Sus scrofa: one gene and its partners. The protein of the gene in region 2 purifies or fractionates together with the protein of the main gene of each other region. This does not show direct contact. Links are inferred from orthologs where the notes say so. Each region holds a gene or a part of one and is shown on either strand. Other genes may lie near its edges. The genes, in order: KPNB1, NUP214 and NUP62.

Evidence for each region.
Region 1: the proteins of NUP214 (region 2) and KPNB1 purify together in Homo sapiens (affinity purification with mass spectrometry; 3 studies listed by BioGRID and IntAct, with this or other methods). This does not show direct contact. The link is inferred for Sus scrofa from reciprocal best matches to the Homo sapiens genes NUP214 and KPNB1.
Region 3: the proteins of NUP214 (region 2) and NUP62 purify together in Homo sapiens (affinity purification with mass spectrometry; 5 studies listed by BioGRID and IntAct, with this or other methods). This does not show direct contact. The link is inferred for Sus scrofa from reciprocal best matches to the Homo sapiens genes NUP214 and NUP62.

Annotation. Positions count from the first base shown.
Region 1 is NC_010454.4:23,939,757-23,942,967, forward strand, and holds part of KPNB1 (importin subunit beta-1), read left to right. Parts: intron 1-107; coding exon 108-222; intron 223-1,509; coding exon 1,510-1,671; intron 1,672-2,591; coding exon 2,592-2,592; 3' UTR 2,593-3,211.
Region 2 is NC_010443.5:271,106,790-271,110,438, forward strand, and holds part of NUP214 (nuclear pore complex protein Nup214), read left to right. Parts: intron 1-339; coding exon 340-535; intron 536-1,401; coding exon 1,402-1,553; intron 1,554-2,325; coding exon 2,326-2,524; intron 2,525-3,649. UniProt on the Homo sapiens protein: Part of the nuclear pore complex. Has a critical role in nucleocytoplasmic transport.
Region 3 is NC_010448.4:54,942,836-54,947,082, reverse strand, and holds the start of NUP62 (nuclear pore glycoprotein p62), read left to right. Parts: upstream 1-1,377; 5' UTR 1,378-1,498; exon of another isoform or gene 1,499-1,702; intron 1,703-1,928; exon of another isoform or gene 1,929-2,016; intron 2,017-4,247. UniProt on the Homo sapiens protein: Essential component of the nuclear pore complex. The N-terminal is probably involved in nucleocytoplasmic transport.

The DNA of each region.
Region 1 (3,211 bases), on a different chromosome or scaffold from region 2:
CAGCCTAAAACCTGCCTGATGGAGGCAGAGTATTTAGAAATTATGAAACAGGGTGGAGTCTTGCCAAATGTGGCACAACTTCATCACACCTTCTCTTTCTTTTATAGCGGATGTGATGCTGGTACAACCTAGAGTAGAATTTATTCTGTCTTTCATTGACCACATTGCTGGAGATGAGGATCATACAGATGGAGTAATAGCTTGTGCTGCCGGACTCATAGGGTAGGTCATACTCTGCTTCCAATAGCTGAATAGAACTCCTCATGCAAAATGAGAAGACATGTAGTAAAGAATTTTGAGTGGCCTGGATGGTAATTGCCCACTTTATTGGCATAGAGGAGATTTCTTTCTTTAGTAGAACCCATGCTGTCGCGGGGTGTGTGTGTGTTTGTTTGTTTGACCACACCTGCAGCATGTGGAAGTTCCTGAGCGGCAGTTGTAACCTGTGGCACAGCTGCAGCAGCGCCAAATCCTTAACCTGCTGCGCCACGCTGGAACTTCCATGATGTCCTGTTTTGAGTTCTCAGATGATTATTCCTTCTAGACTTTAGCTCTAATCTCATTCCAGGCCCCCCACATTTCTAATTTCTCCCCACCAAACTATGAAATTAGCTCTCAGAGAGAGGCAGCATCTGATCTGTGTCCATCCCATGTTCTGGTGTTGATCAACAACTTGCCTCTGTGTAGCCTCCTCTACTGAGGGTTTCTGAGACATCGTTGGAAGAACATTGGTTTTGAGGAGCTCAAAGATCTGGATTTTTTTTTTTTTTTTTTTTTTGGCTTTTTGCCTTTTCTAGGGCCACTCCTGCAGCATATGGAGGTTCCCAGGCTAGGGGTCTAATCAAAGCTGTAGCCGCCGGCCTACACCACAGCCACAGCAACGCAGGATCCGAGCCACGTCTGCAACCTACACCACGGCTCATGACAACACCGGATCCTTAACCCACTGAGCAAGGCCAGGGATTGAACCTGCAACCTCATGGTTCCTAGTCGGATTCGTTGACCACTGAGCCACGACGGGAACTCCAAGATCTGAATTCTAGTTCTGATTTTACCGTAAATTAGCTGTGGCACCTTGGCTAAGTCATTCTACTTATTAGACTTCATTTTTGTTCCTCCATTGAGGACAAGTGTTAGACTCATTTATCTTTAAAATTTCTTACAGCTTTAAAAAGTTGAATACTCAAAATCCTAGAGCTGGCTTAGAACTGGTTTGGAAGGTTCGAAACATGATCTTAGGGGAGTTCCCACTGCGGCACAGTGGGTTAATGATCCAGCTTGTCCCTGGCATTGCTGGTTCGATCCGTAGCCTGGAGTAGCAGATTAAGGATCTGCTCTTGCTGCAGCTGTGGTGTAGGGCACAGATGAGGCTTGGAATCAATCCCTGGCTCAGGACTTCCATATGCTGCAGGTGCAGCCAGAAAGGGGGGCGGGGGACCAAAAAATACAATCTTCATGATCTTGGTATAGGGCCGGGAGCTCACTTTCAGGTGTGTTTATCTTGTCCAGGGACTTGTGTACAGCATTTGGGAAGGATGTACTGAAATTAGTAGAAGCTAGGCCAATGATCCATGAACTGTTAACTGAAGGACGGAGATCGAAGACTAACAAAGCAAAAACCCTTGCTACCTGGGCAACAAAAGAACTGAGGAAACTGAAGAACCAAGCTTGGTAAGAGCTTGTCCCTTTCTTCCACTTTCTTGGGCAGGCAGGTGGGTGGTGCATTTTTTCAGACAATTCTGACAAGGGCCTTTTTTTTTTTTTTTCTTCTTCGGTGTTTTGTTTTGTACTCTTCCCTATGTTAAGTGCCTCTGAGCCAGGCCTTTGTTCATCAGCCTTGTACTAGTGGAAGGTCAGGCAGCCAGTCTTTGAGCCAAATATTTGGTTCCTTGTGGTGGTGAAGAACAGAACTTAAGTAATTAGAATTCACTGAAATCCCCAAATAATTTTGGACCCTTAATGAAGTAACTGATAGGGGTATTTTCCCATAATTTTCTTTCTACCCTCTATTTCCATCCTCATGTTCTTTCTTTACTGCAGTGCTTTTATTAATTTTTTTTCTTTTTTGGCCACCCAAGCATATGGAGTTCCTGGGCCAGGGATCAGATTTGTGATGTATACCACAACTGGGGCAACACCAGATCCTGAAACCCATCGTGCCAGGCCAGGGATAGAATTAGGTCCCAGTGCTCCATAGATGCCACAGATCCAGTTGTGCCACAACAGGAACTCCCACTGCAGTGCTTTTAGACATTGCTTTTCTGTACGGAAGATACCCAAGGTCAGAGTTGTTTGACCTCTGCTTTGAAATGTAGTTTTGTTTTCCTCTCATACTCAATTATCTTATACCATAGATCTCAGTAAAATTGGCTGTTTTGGGTTTTATCTTTTTAGTTTGCCTCCCACCCTCTCTGGGTACTAATGAAAGTAGGTGGATGGCACATAGAAAAAGAAGAAAAATAATCAGTCCTTGGAAAGTTGACAAATGATGTTCAAGCCTGTGAGCGCTTAATTCTAGGAGTCAGAGAAATGTTTGGCTCTACTGGCTATACGGAATCTCAAAGACTGACCTTTTTTCCATCTGTTTTTAGATCTGTTACCAATGGGATGATAACCTGAGACCCCCACTGGAAATCTCCAATCTTTTGAAAAACCCGGAAGTGAGGAGTGTGCACGGATGCTGAATGTTTGGGAATGAGAGGATGAGTGAGTGAGGCTTGAAAACACACCACATTGAAAATCCTGCCACAGCAGCAGCTGCAGCCGCCAACAGCAGCGCTGTTAGTGAGCTAAGTAAGCACTGACTTCGTAGAAAAACCATAACGTCGGCCATCTTGGAAAAGAGAAAACGGTGGATTTACTTGCTTAAAAAAAAAAAAAGAAAGCTCTCTCTTCCCAGGAGAGGCCAGAACTAGCTTTTCTGTCTCTTGGCCAGTGCCGAGTGGATTGACTAGTTTGGGAGAGGAGGAGGGACTGGGTTCAGCTGTGGTGCTTTGTTGTAAAAGGCAGCTTGGCCTTTGCTACTGATGAGAAAGATGGGAGCCTGGGTCTCAAGCCCACCTTTGGTGTACCTTTGCCACACGGTACTGGTACTGTATGCGTGCCAGCTAAAAGGAGGGTGAGGGATTCTTTCCAGCCTGAGAATGAGTGTGTGTGAGTGAGGCGGTATCCACATTCTCAACTTCAAGTCATTGCAGTTTCTTTTTCCCAG
Region 2 (3,649 bases):
TCAAGAAAAGCTTCATGAGTTTTTAAAAATTTATTTTATTCAATAAATACTAATAAGCACTATGCCAGGTACCACAATGTCATAGGAAGATTAAAAACGCGCAGAGTTCCCTCATGGCTCAGTGGGTTAAGGATCCTGCAGTGGCTCAGGTCCCTGCTGTGGTGTGGGTTTGATCCCTGGCCTAGGAACTTCCACATGCTGCAGGCATGGCCCAAAGAAGACTGAGCTACACAGTACTTAGCCTCAGGGTAACATGTATTTTGTCGTACTGGAATATAGTGACAGGTGATTTAATTTCCTATTTACTTGAATTGATCTTGTTTTGACCCCTCACCACAGGATTTTCAGTTTAGAGCACTGAAGAAGGTGAGAATCTTTGACTCCCCTGAGGAGCTGCCGAAGGAACGCTCAAGTCTACTTGCCGTGTCCAACAAGTATGGCCTGGTCTTTGCCGGTGGAGCCAGTGGGTTGCAGATTTTTCCTACCAAAAATCTTCTTATTCAGAATAAACCTGGCGATGATCCCAATAAGATAGGTAAGTTACTTAATTTATGGTGCATTGTAAAGAGAGGAGTCGTGCAGTGCTAATGCCATTTGCTTCCGAAGAAGTCATCCTCCCAGTACAATTAAAACTGCTGTTAGTCCTGAGATTGACCCCCAGGAAGAGTAAGTTCTGGGTAGGCTGCTGGAAGCTTTTCTGGGAGTTCCGTTTGATTCTTCGTGTATCTCTTTTGATGAGTTGTTCCTTGCTTTTAGTTTTTGCTCAGTTGAACTTGCTCCGGCTTTCTCCCGGAAGAGTTGTGTTGCATGGCTTTTTAGTTGTCATAGGAGCACCATCCAAACAAATGGGAATATGTACTATTTGGAGTGTTGTTACAGAAATTCAGCATGGGACACTATTTTCTTTTTCTTTTTTTGCTTTTTACACTCGCAGCATGTGGAGGTTCCCAGGCTAGGGGTTGAATCAGAGCTGCAGCTGCCAGCCTACACCATGGCCATAGACGGCCAGATCTGAGTTGAGTCTGCGACCTACACCATAGCTCACGGCAACACCGGATCCCTGGCCCACTGAACAGTGCCAGGGATCGAACCCACATCCTCATGGATGCTAGTCAGGTTCATTTCCGCTGAGCCATGATGGGAACTCCAGGACACTATTTTCAACAAGGAGCACAGCCACTGCGAGTTTCCCCAGGTCTTAAGAGGAAGAATCCTAGAATACTTAAAGCATCATTGTACATCTGCAGGACAGCCATGATTTATCTGCACAGCTGGGTATCAGGGTGTGTGCATATGTTTGTGTAGATGCTAAAGTTATTTTACGTCAACTTGAATAGAGGGCTTGTGGCTTATGCTTAGAACACTCCATCTTCTGCTTTGTGGGTTATTTTGTCTTCATAGTTGATAAAGTTCAGAGCCTGCTGGTTCCTATGAAATTCCCGATACATCACCTGGCCCTAAGCTGCGATAACCTCACGCTTTCCGTGTGCATGATGTCCAGTGAATATGGCTCCATTATTGCTTTTTTTGATGTTCGCACCTTTTCAAATGAGGTAAGCTGCTGGCAAACTGTAGGGACCTGGTACTGAATCAGAATCTACAAGTTCTGGGTTGACCTTTGAATCTTTTTCTAGATTAAAGTACGGGTTTTTAAAAGGTCCTTAATTATAGAATCACAGATCTTAGAGATAAAAGTGACCTCAAGAAATTATTTCGGGGGAGTTCCTGTTGTGTGGCTCACCGGGTCATGAACCCGACGAGTATCCATGAGGATGTGGGTTTGATCCCTAGCCTTGCTCAGTGGGTTCAGGATCCGGTGTTGCTGCGGCATAGGCCAGGAGCTGTAGCTCCGATTGGACCCCTAACATGGGAACTTTCATGTGCCGTGGGGTGACCTTAAAAAAAAAATAAAATTCAAGGACCCAATACTGTTAATAAGCAGAGCCCAAGAGTTCCCTGGTGGCACAACAGGTTAAAGATCTGGCATTGTTGCTGTAGCAGCTTGGGTCACTGCTGTGGCTCAGGATCAATCCCTCACCCAAGAACTTGCACAACCAAAAAAAAGAAAAGCCCAGATTTTAGTCTAGTATATACTCTTTATTGTTCTACATGTGTGTATTCCCCTGTTGAGTCTCTCCAAGTATGCTGGAATAATTGCCGTTTTCAAAGTTGTATTAAAATTGTAACAAACACGTTGTGCAGGGCTAAGTATTCTTGTCATGGAGCAGAGTGAACTATAATTGGAGAAAACTTGTGTATTCAATGTTTTTTTTTTTGACTGTTAAATGTCTGTTTATTTTTGTTTCTGGGCATTTGTTTTAAAAGGCTAAGCAGCAGAAACGTCCGTTTGCCTATCACAAGCTCTCGAAAGATGCAGGAGGCATGGTGATTGACATGAAGTGGAACCCTACCGTCGCCTCCATGGTGGCAGTTTGTCTGGCCGATGGCAGCATTGCTGTCCTGCAAGTCACAGAAACCGTGAAAGTGTGTGCCACTCTTCCCTCCACAGTAGGAGTAACATCTGGTGGGTAATGAAGTCTTCTGCTCTGTAACGTGTGGTAGTGGTCATCTATTTAAAAACTAGTTACTGGGGAGTTCCCACTGTGGCTCAGTGGGAACGAAGGCAGCTAGTGTCCATGAGGATGCAGGTTCGACCCCTGGCTCCGCTTTGTGGGTTAAGGATCCGGCGTTGCCGCAAGCTCCGGTGTGGGTCCGGCTTTGGCTCTAGTGTAGGCTGGCACCTGTAGCTCTGATTTGAGCACTAATCTGGGAACTTCCATATGCTGCGGGCAGGGCTGGGAAAAAAAAAAAAAAAAGCGAAAATAAATAATAAGAAAAACAATATTTTATCTTTGTGTGTGTGTGTGTGCGTGCGCTTTTTAGGGCTGCCCCTGCCCTGGCATATGGAGGTTCCTAGGCGAGAGGTCGAATCGGAACTGTAGCCCCTGGCCTGCACCATAGCCACAGCAACATCAGATCCGGGCTGCGTCTTTGACCTACACCACAGCTTACGGCAATGACAGATCCTTAACCCACTGAGCGAGGCCAGGGATTGAACCTGTGTCCTCATGGATGCTAGTCAGATTCGTTTCCAGTGAGCCGCAATAGGAACTCCATCAAAACAAAAAGAGGTGATAGTCCTTTAAAAAAAATTAATTTCTGGGAAAAAAAACCTCAAGTGGGTTTGTTTTGTTGTTTTTGGTAGAAGTGGAGAGAATGTTTCTTATTTTTGTAGTTACTGTCCTTGAAGCGAGACAGCATATGTGATTTAGCTTGAATGTACTTGGGTTTTCTGGAGAAAAAAATATTGTGGTAGAGCTGGTTTAGAACTGTGCTGTTAAGAATAACTGTTTTTCTCTTAAAGAGTCATATTTTGTACCTTCAGGGAAAAAGCATCAGAAAGTACCACGTAGGAGCAAGAGAATGATTTCTTGATGTCGGAAAATCTTCTCTTCTCGTTTTTTCTAGAGTTTTCTGCACTTTACAGTTTTCGGGGCCATGCTGCCCTGAAAAGGCGCTTTTAGCAGCTGATTCAGTGGCCCAGACATAACTCACAATTAGCTTGTGTTGTCAAAATGATTTTCCTTTTTTCACTTCGCCAAGTAAGGGTGATCCCACGGTTTTCCCTGACGTGACAGAGGAACAAGAA
Region 3 (4,247 bases), on a different chromosome or scaffold from region 2:
TGCACCAACAGCTGGCAGGAGGCTCTGGAGATTACTCAGCTGGGCGAAGACGGGCACCAAGGCGAGAGTGGAGGACCTACGAGTGGGAGACAAAAGTGAGTGGGTTAGGGGCCAGCCTCGCCAACGGCCAAGGCCATGGGGAAACCAAGCGATACCCCCTCAGGTCCCCAGGATTCCTTACCTTTTGGGAATTCTACATCTGCCCTTTCTTTCCTCAAATGGGGACCCCACCCATTCCCAAGGGAATTTTCTTTAGGCCCCGACTTACTTTTCCTCAGAATTCCCTAGACCCAATCCTTCCAATATTGAAACATAATGGTGTCCCAGGGGAATTACCTTAAGACCCTCCCACCCACCCCATAATACTATCTCTCATGGAAAAAAAAAAAAAAAAAAAACACAAAAACCTCAATCCCAGGGGAATTTTCTTCCAGCCACACCTCTTGCCCTAAAACATATCCTTTAGGCCCCACCCTGTCCCTAGATTCCTGCTGTGAATCTGTTCCCAGGGGAATCCCCCTGCCCCGCCCCTTCATCAAAATCCTCCATTCAAATCCCATTCTTCCCTTCGAATTTTGCAGTGGTCTCCCGTCCCCCCAAGCCCTGCCCCCTGGTTTATTAGCTCCACCCTCCCCGACGATTCCCAGAGGCCCCGCCTCTTTCTCAATATAAACCCCACCCCCTCAGCGCACGGCGCGCTTAGCCACGCCCCTTCTCCCAAAGGGTACCCCGCCCCCGCCCCACCCTCCGCGACGTCTCTTATCCTAGCTCCCGTCCCTTAACTGGTCGTTTCTAAGCCCCGCCTTCTCCCCCCGCCCCCGCCCCCGTAGTTGCTTGAAAGAAAGGGAGGGAAGACGTGCTTTTACGCCTGAGCAAACTGGAGGGAGGCGGAGGGTGGAGGGGGGCGGGATGAGAACAGCTCCCGACTCCCCCTCCCCCCACCCCCGTACACGGCTGTCTCGCCGAGGGCCAAAGCGCAGGCTCCAGCCCCAGAGCTGTCCTATTGCCCCCGCAAGGCTCCGCCCTCCTCGGGATCAGTGCTGCGCACGTGCGGCTGCTGCTCGTCAGCCCTTTGCTCCGAGATACAAGCGCCGGTGGATCTGAGCAATCGCTGATTGACAGACTCAATCAGAGCGGGGAGGAGGGGGGAAACCCACCCTCTCTGGGAGCTAGTGCGCAGGCGCAAACGCATGTGGTCGTCTTTAAACGCCAACATTGTCTGGAAGAACGCACCCTCCCCCCATCAGCTGAGTGCGCATGCTCCGCAGCGCGCAAACGGAGCGTCTTGTCTCTTCTGCGCCTGCGCGACCGTGATTCCTCACTCTTGTCTCCCCACCCCCCCGAGCCCGGTGGTGAGGGCCGCGAGCTTGGAAAGGGCGGGAAAGACGGTTGGAGAGGGAGGGGCGAGCGAGCGGTTACTCACTCCATGGCTGCGGAAAGAAGAGGCGGCGGTGGCCTCAGCTGAAGAAAGACGGCAGGAGCGGAGAGCGCAGGCGCGGTGAGCACGGCGACTGGCCGGGGGCACAGAGGGGTCGCGGCTACAGAGCCATGGCTGGAGCTACGCGGGCGGAGGAGGTGTCGCGGTACTGTGAGGAGAGATTGTGATCTGAGGATGGGGAATGAGGCGGCCCGGGGGACTGGGGACAGATATACCGGGGGCGGCGCAGCACGGCGTGCCCGGATCCTTCCGCGCCCCGCCCCGCGCTGCCCCAACCGGGAGGCGGGCTTGGCCTCTAGCCCTCGGGGATCCCGGGGACTGTCCCCCACTTCCGACCAGGGCGTTCAGCCCTCCCCTTCCTCTGACCTGAGGATCTGGCCCTGCTTTGCTCCCGACCCCCTGGACCACCCCCACTCGGGTGGGGCCCCTTTCTCCTTCTGATCCGGGGTCCGGCTTTCTGTTCCCTCTCATTCTGGTGGTTCAGCCTCACCTCTTCCCCGATCCCTGCACGAGTTCATTTCTCCTTTCCTTTCTCTTGCTTCACGAATTTCCGGCCAGCCACGTGCTGATCTCTTCAACTGCCACGGCACTCTGAGAACCCTTGTTGTGGCTTAGGATCTGGTTTGAGTCACAGACCGCGCTCCATTCAAATCGCAGACGGGCGCGGGTGGCCTTGGGCAAATAATTTAAATTCTCTAGCCTCGTAGATAGGGAACTACCTGTAAAATGAGAATAATCACCTCTTCCTAGTGGGGTCGTTTGTGAAAATCCGTGCAGTCGGTGTCTGTGAAACCAGCCCTCCTTCATGCCTGGTCCAACCGCTTTTATTATCCATAACAAGGACCTCTGGGGACCAGTCTCACCCCTTCCAACTCCCCTGGCCAGAGCCCCAGACTCGACCATCCAACACCTGCTAATAGATCATTCTTGTGTCTCCTTCGCTCTAGCATCCCTGCCCTCCCCCATTTCAAACGATGGACGCTCAGCCCCATCCTGCTGCCGGGAGCAAGGCATCATTGCCCAGACTCTCGTGTCCATCCCCTGCTGGCTTCCCCTTAGCCCTTATCCTTAGCACGCCTTTCAGGCCCGTTGGTTCATTCTTCTGTCCCTGCCCCTCACCTAGACGTCCTTTCAAATGGTTTTCTACCTCCGTGCACCCCACCCTCACCCCCAGATCAGTTTTCCACCTTTGCCAGACTTAGGGAGATCTGTAGTTCCATTTGCTGAAAGAGATGGGGCTTCCTGGCCAGTCCCTCCCATTACACAGGGCCTTCCACCAGACCCCGTAGACGAGGGTCTTTGCTGCAAGCCCCTCTCCTCCCCCATTCATCCACATCTAGACGTTACACCTGGAGTACAACTTTTCAGGACTTTGGTGGTGGTTATGAGACTGAGTCAAGATCCAAAGGTGGGAGACCCAGATCTTGAGTTACCTGGAATGATACATGGGCCTCTTTTGTTTTGTTCCATGTGCATGTGCTTTTTTTTTTTCCAGTTTTACTCAAGATATAATTAAACTTTATAAATTTAAGGTGTACAGTATAACAATTTGATTACCCATAAGTTTAGTGAACATTTATCATTTCCTGTAGATGTGAAATTAAAGATATAGAAATAGGGAGTTCCCATTGTGGTGCAGCGGAAACGAATCTGACTAGCATCCATGAGGATGCATGTTCAATCCCTGGTCTTGCTCACTGGGATAAGGATCCAGCGTTGCCATGAGCGGTAGTGTAGGTCGCAGATGTGGCTTGGATCTGGTGCTGCTGTGGCGTAAGCCGGCACCTGTAGCTCCGATTCGACCCCTAGCCTGGAACCTCCATATGCCTTAGGTGCAGCCCCGAAAAAGACCCAAAAAAGTAAATAAATAGATACTTAGAAAAAATACATATTTCTTTTTTTCTTTGGCAACTCCATGGCATATGAGTTCACAGGCCAGGAATCAGATCCGAGCCAAAGGTATGACATATGGAAGGGTTTATTCTCTCTCTCTCTCTCTCTTTTTTTTTTTTTTTTTTTTTTGCTTTTTAGGGCCACATCTGAGGCATATGGAAGTTCCCAGGCTAGGGGTTGAAATGGAGCTACAGCTGTCAGCCTACGCCACAGCCACAGCCATAGCTATGCAGGATCCCAGCCACATCTGTGACCTGCATCACAGCTCACAGCAACACCAGATCCTTAATCCACTGAGCAGGGCCATGGATCGAACCTGCATCTTCATGGATCCTAGTCTGGTTCGTTAACCACTGAGTCACAAAGGGAACTCTGGGTTTATTCTCTTAATAACTTTGATATGTAACATACAGCAGTGTTAATTATACTGATCATTTGATATATTACATACCCAGTACAGGCTGCTCTTCCTACAGGAAGCCCTTTTTGGGATCTGACCCCGTTCCCTTAGAGTACTTCCTGTCCACTGTGCCAGTATTTGAGCACTTGTCCTTTGGGGCCACATTATTACCTAGGCGGCATGGAGTAGTAGTTAAGAGCACAGACTCTGGAGGCAAGTTGTTGGATTCACACCCTGACTATACCCCACTTATTAGCTTCCTGGCAGTTTCGCTGTGCCTCGGTTTCCATTAATAGTGCCAGAACAGAAGTCCTCTGGTGGCCTAGCAGGTTGGGGATCTGGTGTTACCTCTGTGGCTCTGGTTATTACTTGGTGAGGGTTTGGTCCCTGGTCGGGAAGTTTTGTGGGCGCAACCAAAAAAAAAAAAAAAAATAGTGCCAGGATAAAAGTGACTAGAAAGTGCCAGGAGTTTAGTGACTAGAAACATACAGAAAGTGCCAGGAGTTTAGTGACTAG